Linked DNA regions of Bombyx mori. The main gene of each other region encodes a partner of the protein of the gene in region 2 in a complex. Links are inferred from orthologs where the notes say so. Each region holds a gene or a part of one and is shown on either strand. Other genes may lie near its edges.

Evidence for each region. Proteins that work in one complex are often made in the same cells at the same time.
Region 1: GATOR complex protein Iml1 (region 2) and sec13-like protein share a complex: the UniProt entries of both Drosophila melanogaster proteins name them as parts of the GATOR complex. The link is inferred for Bombyx mori from reciprocal best matches to the Drosophila melanogaster genes Iml1 and Nup44A.

The regions. Positions count from the first base shown.
Region 1 is NC_085125.1:13,431,101-13,436,585, forward strand, and holds the start of sec13-like protein, read left to right. Parts: upstream 1-1,808; 5' UTR 1,809-1,855; coding exon 1,856-1,990; intron 1,991-2,170; coding exon 2,171-2,327; intron 2,328-3,139; coding exon 3,140-3,293; intron 3,294-3,717; coding exon 3,718-3,825; intron 3,826-4,146; coding exon 4,147-4,263; intron 4,264-5,163; coding exon 5,164-5,322; intron 5,323-5,485. UniProt on the Drosophila melanogaster protein: Probable component of the nuclear pore complex (NPC). Involved in maintaining the localization of another nucleoporin Mgtor to the nuclear envelope of early meiotic female germline cells.
Region 2 is NC_085116.1:10,877,317-10,882,079, forward strand, and holds part of GATOR complex protein Iml1, read right to left. Parts: intron 1,509-4,763; coding exon 1,308-1,508; intron 749-1,307; coding exon 596-748; intron 150-595; coding exon 1-149. UniProt on the Drosophila melanogaster protein: An essential component of the GATOR subcomplex GATOR1 which functions as an inhibitor of the amino acid-sensing branch of the TORC1 signaling pathway.

The sequences.
Region 1 (5,485 bases), on a different chromosome or scaffold from region 2:
ACAGACGTTACACTGTAGCGTCTCTAAGCGATGCCTGCCACTTATTATCAGCTGAGCTGCAATCTCAATTGCCATATTTTATAAAAAATTAATGAAATGTTGTTGACTTTTCATAATCCTAGGTAGAATATTTTTAAAACTGTAAAATAATAATTGAAAGACATTTTGTTAATTTTAATATACTTATACACATATAAATAATAGTTGTGCCAAATTTAATACCGTTCGTAAAATTACGGACTTAAAAATTTCCAATATTTAAATTATTTTTTGTCTCTTTCGTTGTGTTTGTAATGTAAATTAAATAAAGTAAATTTGTAATAAATATTCCGGCATCAATACCTAATAGTATAGGGTCCTTAGGAACGGATTCTTTGTAAGTAATTTAAAAATAATAAACATAACATATTTTCAACTCCTCTTTTTATTTAACAAATGTTAAATATTATCATTGAACACTTAAAGTGTGTAGTAAATTAAAAAAAAATACGTAATTGTCTATTTGACAAATTGGTCAAGTTATTGGAGATCTGTTTAATGAAAATTATCACACTCATAATTAGTTAATCATATACAAATTTTGCATCTATCTAAATTGTTCTGTTTTCGTGTTTATTTTGACAATAATGTTAATAATTGATGTATTTTTGTGTATGAATTTGTTATATTTATAAATAATATTAGCTTCCTTGTTAATCTATGTAATTAAATTAGCTAGTACACTACTAATTTTATTAAATGCCTATAATTTTTAATTGTTTTTTTTTTCAAAGTATATCATGAGCCTTTTCACACATCTATAGATCTTAGTGTAGGAATGGTAGGTAATAAATACGACATCGATGTTGGGAGAAAAACATGGTAAGGCGGGTACTAACGTCTAACGAAAGACCACTGTTATTTACAGCATTGGTCTTCCGTCGTGTGGGGTACGAACTGCTTGAATTGCTTCCCTTTTATAAATTATATATTATAAATTATTATTATCTATGCTGTTTTCATTCATGGACTGAGGCTCTTTAACAAGTTTTCCCAAGTTACCACAAGTTTCTCCCATTTAATCTACATGGGTGCCACTCCGGGAAGGACCGCTTAATTGCTGGGGATGAGATTAAATCCTTTATCGATATCCTGTAAAACAATTGTGGTGACCTAAAGAATAAGATGGACAGACAGACACAAATGAACGAGTTTTTGGCGGAAACGCCAGGACCGAAGTTGTGTGTATTGTTTTTTATTTAATTTAGTGTTTCTTCAGGCTTAAAGGCTTCGTCAAACAGAAAGCGTAATTAGTGCGCGTCAGAGCGCTACGCTATGACGCCGAGATGTGTTGTACTACTATACTATGAGCGCTATAGCGCTGGCGCTCTGTTTGACGGTATAATACCGTAGTAGTACAATACATCTCGGCGTCATAGCGCGGCGTTAGTTTAGCGCTCTGACGCGCGCTAAGTACGCGTTCTGTTTGACGAAGGCTTAAACGTGTAGTAATGGTGCTTTAATTACTGTTTTGCATCCGTAAAAGCGCATGTGGGAAAATGAAACAGTCGCTTGACATGGCTTTTCGGACTCTTCCAAAAAGTCCACTAAAGTCTCTTTAAATAACTGTCATTTTACTGTGACTTTATTTCATCCCATCTCACCTCATTTTATTTAATTTCATCCATATAATCTTTCCCTTTACGTTGTTTTTCATTTAACAGAATATAAAAAAAAATTGTCTGTATGAAGTGATACTTTCGCCTTTCATATTGAAAAATGGAATTATTACTGTCATTAATGTCATTTTCTGTTAATTTGAGGTTATAAATTGGGATTAATGTAACGGAAAAAACACTGTTAGTTCATAATAACAATGAGTGAAAACATAGCTACGAACCTTTTCGAGGCCCAAACGATACATGCCGATCACAAAGACCTTATTCACGATGTCGCGTACGACTTCTACGGGGAGAGAATGGCCACTTGTTCCAGTGATCAATACGTAAAGGTACATTCTTTATATTATTTTTAATTAGAGTACGTACCTTTGTTTTACGTACGTATAGTTGTAAAACGTGGTAAAATGAAATTTTTTTAGTCTTCTGGTAATTCACGAAAGCTTTGTTGCTTCGTAGTAATAAGCAATCGTGAAAGTTAATAATTTGGAATATGTTATTTTTTATCTTAGATATGGGACACAGACGGGCATGGAGGCTGGCGGATGACAGCGAGCTGGAAGGCTCATCACGGCTCTGTTTGGAAAGTTACATGGGCCCACCCAGAGTTTGGACAGGTCATTGCGACTTGCTCCTTTGATAGAACAGCTGCTATTTGGGAGGAAGTGGGTATGTGGAACCATTTGTTCATACCATTTAGCATTAAATTTATTACTTTTTCTAGATGAGTTGTTTTATAATATATTTTATGTATAATTAGCTGACCTGGCAGACTTCGTAGTGCCTCAATCAATAAATAAACTAAACTTTTGTATAAAATAAACCTAAAACAAAAAAAGGAATCCTTCCGGCGGGGGACATATTAAAGGAAAACAAAATTGTTATTTTTATTTAATTCTGAGCATTTTTATATTTAGCTACCTTTTAAACTTTCTCTGGACCTCTACAAATAATACAATACCAAAATTAGCCAAATCGGTCCAACCATTCTCGAGTTTTAGCGAGACGAACGAACAGCAATTCATTTTTATATATATAGATTATAGTATATTCTTGTAAGTTTTAGCCACAATTTACCCATTTTTTGCAGAATGTAAGGTGTAGGGTGCCTGCTTTTCATAGTTTTGCATCATGGTACATTCAATGTACTTCTGAAAGCTTTCATTAGTTTTTTGTGTTTGGGTAGACAGACTGAGATCTTAGATCCCATATCACTTAACATGAGGTGGGCTGTGAGCTCGTCCACCCACCTAAGCAATAAAAAAATTACATTCTAGGAAACCTAGCTTGGAAGTTGCAAAATAATATAAATTTTAACAGACATAAAGTGTGAAAAACTGTGACCAAAGAATGGCCTATTTAGTCATCACTAGCACCATCACTAGTCATGCAGAGATATACACAAGCCAAGTGCAGAATAGTAGGAGTATATAGTTCAAAATGATTGGTTCAAATAAATATGTATTCAATATTGTATTCAGGTGACACCACAGCAACAGGCTCTGAAAAGAGTTTACGTACATGGCTGAAGCGGTCAAACCTCGTTGATTCAAGAACTTCAGTAACAGATGTTAAATTTGGACCTAAACATTTAGGTCTACTACTAGTTACATGCTCAGCTGATGGCATTATAAGGTATTATGTTGATCCATAACACTACACATCAGTAAAACCTCCTGGTACTACTTATTTCAAGCATAAACTGATAGCTACTACCACCCTGCCTATTTCTGCAATGAAACAGTCTCGTTTTCTAATTTGTAGGCTGTTTTACTAGATGGTTAAGAATTTGGGTCTAAATGTGAGTGATGATTTATGTAACAATATTGGCAGCTACTAATGTAATCTAAGCTGTAAGCATTACCTGGTTTTCTACATTTTCAACAATTAAATTCAGCTAATTACCATTTTTCATTTGAATTAATTCTGTGTCGTTCTAGATAAATAGTTGACCTCAGAATCCACATAAGGCTATGTTGTTACTGGTATAGCAATACTGCTCTTCATCTTCTCACTTTAATCTGTTTGAAGCGAAAACAACATTCTGTTTGATTTACAGAATATATGAGGCTCCGGATGTGATGAATTTGGCACAATGGACCCTCCAGCACGAGATACCGACGAAAGTTTCAATTAGTTGTTTATCATGGAACCCTTCATTGTCTAGGTAGGTATGTATTTTTATTATAATTGGATGTAGCAAATAGCCCATCTGATCGTAACTGGATATAGTCACTTATGGACAACAAGTAGTCAACAACAACAGTCAACAACAACAACAACAATAATAACGTGTAGTCAACAAAGAGCTCTTTTAAGTCCCCAGATACTCATAAAACAGCAGGGAATTTAGTTTAGAGGTTGAAAGTGAGAGTAAGAGAGAGTTTTTGGGAGCAAATTGTGTTTTTACTGTGTAAAATAAAACTGTTCTGTTGGCTTGTATTAGTGACTTTTTTATAATATCTTCAATATTGCATTTTTTTTCTAGGGTAGGAAACCCACCAATGTTGGCAGTAGGCAGCGATGAACCTAACACAACAAATGCCTTAGCATCAGTACCATCTGATAAGAGCACAGCTTGTAATGGAAAAGTTTTTATTTATGAGTAAGTATTAATTTATATGTTGTAATCCATGTATTAAATATACACTTTTACTTTTATATGTAAATATCTAAAATACTTATTACTTGAAATAATGATAATTCTAGACAGTGACTTGGATGTGCCCCTGCCATTGACAATGTCTACTGTTAGCAGTGATTTAAAACTATCAGTTTTTGTATTGTATTTGTAGTGAATGTAAACATTTGGCTTCATTCATTTACTTGATAGATTTGCAAATTTTTATAGTTGTCTATAGCCCAGGGAAGATTTTTGTCATAGTTTGGAGAGTATACGACAAAAGGAAGATATTCAACCGAGCGGGTGACAGACAGTCCGAATGTTGATGTTCAGAACTTGTATATATGCAAGTTCCATTCCCGATCCTGCGGACAGAATGGAAAGCAGTCGACGTCGCCCCAAACACGTCATTTCGGATCCTCCCGATCCACTAACGGTGCTTTTAGGTACCTCAAGCACCGGTCATTGTTCTCGTCGAACCCGTCGCTTGCGACGAAGGGCTCGACGAGTAAATTAACCCTCAGACACAGCCCACTGAGTTTCTCGCCGGATCTTCTCAGTGGGTCGCGTTTCCGATCCGGTGGTAGATTCTGCGAAGCACGGCTCTTGCTAGGGTTCGTGTTAGCAACGTCATCAGGTTTCAGCCCCGTGAGCTCACCTACTAGTTAAGGCGAAGCTGATATAGCCTCTCAAGGCTATCAGATTAGGTGGGAAAAAATAAATAAATATGCAGGCTTATCTTGAAAATGTCGTAAGCCAGATTCAGGCATCTAGCAAATATCTTGTGTTCTGTGATGGCTACCCGCCACAATGGTACCGCTGTGTACGTAATAAAAACTCTTATGAAGCTAAACAAAAAAAATTAATTAAATTTGTGTTCAGATACAGTGAAACGTCTCGTCGTTGGACGCGAACGGACTGTCTGTCATCCGTCCAGGAGCCGGTCAACGACCTCGCCTTCGCTCCGAACCTCGGCCGCTCGTTCCATCTCCTCGCCGTAGCCGCCAAGGACCTGAGAATCATTAAAATCGAACCACTTTCGTGAGTACTTTATTATCTTGTCATTGACATGACTACAGATGATGCAAAGTGTAAAATTTCCGTTAAAATTCACAGAAGGGCCGGTAAGCATATCGACGCTTGAAAGGCAAACGTGACTAAGCGACAATAACTGCTTTGTACATAAATGATAGGCAATAACCGT
Region 2 (4,763 bases):
CAGAGCGGGGGTCCACTCCTGTTCGCCCGTAGCCCCCCACAGCAGCGCGAGCGACGCATTGTTGGTCGTGGAGGGAGTCCCCCCGGACACGCCGAGCACGGCTAACGTTCCTGACGCACTTATCATGCGTTTCCGCGACATAATGTTGCCTGTTACAAAAACGTTACAAACATTCCTAGATACCGTGGTATAGATTAGTTTACTGATATCTATCCATTAGGTTCGGTTTTTTTAACTATGCTGATAGCCATGAGAGACTATTTCAGCTTCTGTAACTAAACTGAGACCTTAGAACTTATGTATCAAGGTGGATGGCGCGTAACCACCAGGTGGGCTGTGAGTTCGTCCACCCATCTAAGCAATAAAAAAATAAGCTTCACTCTAGCGTTTAGGTGAGCTCTCAGGGCTCAAACCGGAAGTGTTGCAACACTGGCCCTAGCAAGAGCAGTCCTTCGCAGAATTTACCACCGGATCGGAAACGCGACCCACTGAGAAAATCCGGCGAGAAAGTTAGCGGGCTGTGTCTATGGGTTAATTTACTCGCCGAGCCCTTCATTGAAGGCGATTAGGTCGGACGCACATTGCGCACACTCACCGTCAACCTGATATATAGAATGGTTGTTGTTTAATATCGAGGAACCATTATCCTTTGGTGTGTTACTTTCGCAGCGATGCTCTTCGTTGCGGGCCGGCTCGCCAGCGGGACGGGCCTGGTAGTGATGTTGCTGTATCAATACGCCAGTTGGACCTGAGAATTTTAATTGCATTATATTTGGTCTGAGGATCACGTTCGGTTTTAGTTTAATTTTTTTTATTAATATATGGGGAAATGAGATTACGATCCATCTGGTGGTAAGTGCTTATCGGACCTCAAAGGCACAACATCAATATATTATTTTTACACACTGTGGTTCAAAATACATAATATAATTCACCAAAATACTAATAACAATTTCATTCAATTATGCCGGCACTTAATGTAGACTTCAAGATCACAATTCACTACTGTCGCTTCATTTCTGGTGTTCCGTTAGCTGTTAAACTTTATATCTATTCAACGCTTTTGCAATTTAGATGACATACCTAAAATTTTCCAGAAAATTTCCAGAAAGTAAAGACAGTACTTACTAGTAGTTTCGGTAATCGTTTTCGCTACTTCTAACAGATGGCGTTACTCGTATTGGCATAACATTTGACCTACCTCGTACTTTGACTCATACATACGCGTACGAGTTCACAAGACGCCCTCACACCGGTAAAAATGACTTTGACAGGTGTCAATAATTGAATTAGGGACTTCAACTAACCTTTCGGAAATATATGCGTCCACCTTCGACGGTTACTGGTCAGTTTGACAGTGACATGCGAGGGATCGAAGGGGTTGATGAGTGCCCTGCCCGTCCTGATAACGGGCTTGATTGAAGATATCGAACTGCGCGGCGAGAGTCGGTTCGTCGACATCGGCGAGTCCGTTGTGTCACTGCCCGCGTCGTAGCCTGCGGACTTGTCTGAAAACCAATCCACGGCGACCTATTAAATTAAATCACTTTAGCGATAAAAAAACTTTCGTTTTCAGGCACTATGGGATGTGCGATGAAAAGACTCCACGCAGTTTGCCGAACTCCGCCCAGCCCAGTTGGATGCTTCTCTTGACTTCCCTCTCCAAGCTGTGTTTACCCATCTGCAGCGTCTGCCCGAGGTATAAGTATTATATATATAACGTGGGACGCCCCCTGGCTAGGTGGTGCGATGACCTCCGAACGGTGGCCGGCAAGAAGTGGATGGAGAACCGTAGACGGGGCTCAGTGGTGTGGATTGGGAGAGGCCTATGTCCAGAAGTGGACGACTGTGGGCTGTTGATGATGATGATGATGATGATGAGCGATAAAAGAAAAAACCGTAACTAGCCATGTATACGATATTGATTAAAATTCAATTTCGACGATTAGTACCTTATTAGTCCATGATCAAAAAATGATGAAAACCAGTTTTTGAAAACTGGCAAAGTGTAAAATGAAAATAATCATCGCGACATTTAAATAATAAATAGTTTTTTTTAAATATATTAATTACTACTATACTAGCGAACCCAACAGACGGCCTGTACACACGTCTTATATCTGAAAATTACCAACTTTTTTAAATAAGCTTCGGTTTGAAAAAAAATTTACAAAAAGAAGTTATTACAATACTGAATTGAATCTGAATCTAAGCAATTCCCGAACCCACTTGAATACACACAAAAATCGTTCAAACGTTTGGGAACAGTCCACTAACATACACACACACACAAAAGAATTATATTTTATGTTTATATTTTATATTATGAGTTATTTTATGATATGATGTTTATATTTATGAAAATGTCATATTATTATGTATTTTGTACGTCCATGCAGGTTGTAAGATAATGATTGTACGTGTACCACTGCTCTTAATTATTCTGAAACTAAAATTACTGTATTCATAGTGACATGTGTTGCCACAAATGCTTGTCAGGTGTTTAACAGTTCACCAAATGGGTTTTATATATATGTAGGATTTAATTATTTAATTATTACTAACATTTCTAATTATTGTAAAACATTTCTGAACGAGTGAAAGATTCTGAACGCATGATGTGTGAAAGGGACGGATGTAGCTCTAGTTCGCTCTCTCGCACGACGCCGCCATTAGGAGTAAGACGTGTTCAAAGTGCTCTCTAAGAATTAAATAAAAAGTATTGTGAAACCCTAGAAAAGAGTATTTCATTTAGACCCACACCTACAATTTCTCGCCCGGGATACTCAGGAATATCAGGGTCTAAATGATTTAACGTATCTACGCATATTTTACGAAGTTGTCGCGTGGTGTGAACAACGCCGCGGCCGCCATACTTAACCTGCGCCGACGCCACGCCGCCGGTTACATTTTTCAAAGACGAAAGACGCATTTATACGACGATATACGACGATTCTGCACGATGGCGGAGAGCAAAAACGACGATAGCAAGAATTTATTTTACACGATGGACGCTGTGCCAAAGTTCACGGGTGATGACATCACGTACTCTTCTGCGAAGTGGACACAAGATCTCGACGATAATGCCGATATATTTGGGTGGAGCCAGCAGCAGAAACTCATTATAGCGCGACGATGTTTAGCTGGAACAGCAGAATTATGGCTAAAAAGCGAAAAAACTTTCAGAAGTTACGAAGAACTAAAAGTGGCTTTGATGAAGGAATTCCCTGAGGTGATAAACAGTAAACAAATGCATGAGACAATGAGCAGACGGAAAAAACAACCCAATGAGTCGTTTTATCAATATATGCTCGTAATGAAAGAACTCGGAAAAAGAGCTAAGTTTCCGGATTACGTCGCGATTCAGTATATAATCGACGGAATATCTGACTATGAATCTAACAAGTTGTTATTTTACGGGGTAACGTCGTATTCTGTGCTCAAGGAGAAATTAGTATTATATGAAAGTTTCAAAGAGAAGTCCAAAAAAAGTGTTGATACCATGAGACGAGGTCAGCGAGACACGGCGGTAATGCCTAGACAGGTTCATCGATGTTACAATTGTGGTGAAAGAGGGCACCTATCTAATTCCTGCCGCAGAGGTATCAAATGCTTCAAGTGCAACGGGTTCGGGCACAAGGGTACGGAGTGCCGCGCATCACAAGGTATGGAAGCTAAAAAAGCATCAAATAATTATTATGGAGGAGGTGATGAACAAGATCGGCGATCTATGTTTGTTCGACAGCAGGAGGACGACGAGAAGAACGAGAACGAACTATACGAACGTGAGCAATGCGATTTAAAAGAGCAAGTGAGTGATATGCCAAATTTTAGTTGTCAACAACTAAATCATATTGTTTCGTCAAATTTATTAAATGTAAACAAACGTGATTCTATAAACATGAGTGTAAAATCAGTAAAAGTTGGTAACTATGTGACTAATTGTTTAATTGACACAGGTAGCGACTTAAATTTAATAACTTTTGATTTGTTTACAAAACTAAAATGCGAGTACATACCAGAAAAAATGTTGCTTACTGGGTTAGGAAGCTCTAAGGTATATTCGATTGGTAAGTTCGACACAGATTTAACTATTGACAGTCACAGATATAGTATTAATTTGTATATTGTACCTACAGGTGGAATACCATATGATGTAATACTGGGTCAACAATTTTTAGTAAATACTATCACAGTTATTGACAAGGGTTTGGTTGAGGTCAGGCCTCCTTGTTATGACATATCGTATCAAAATGCTATCTGTCTATCTTCTAGTAGCAATGACCAGTGTACAGCGGTGAGGGAAATTATTGACAGTTACACACCTTTGAAGACTAAAGATGCACCTATCAGGCTGAAGATTGTGTTGAAGGATGATGTACCAGTTTCACAAAGACCAAGACGACTAGCCATCACTGAAGAACAGTTAGTTAAGCAGCATGTTGATGCATTGAGCAGAAACATACTTTTCACTGACCGAGGTACAGCATTCACAGGCAGTGAGTTCCGAGAATATTGTGAAGAAGAAGACATCGAACATGTTACAATCACTACTGGAATACCTCGTGGAAATGGCCAAGTAGAACGCATGAACAGTATTATTATTTCTGCGTTGACAAAGATGTGTATTGAAGAACCTGGTCACTGGTACAAATATACAAGCAAACTACAACAAGTGATAAACAGCACATACCAGCGGGCAATCTGTACTACGCCATTCGAACTGTTAACAGGAGTGAAACTTAAACTGAAAGAAGATTTAT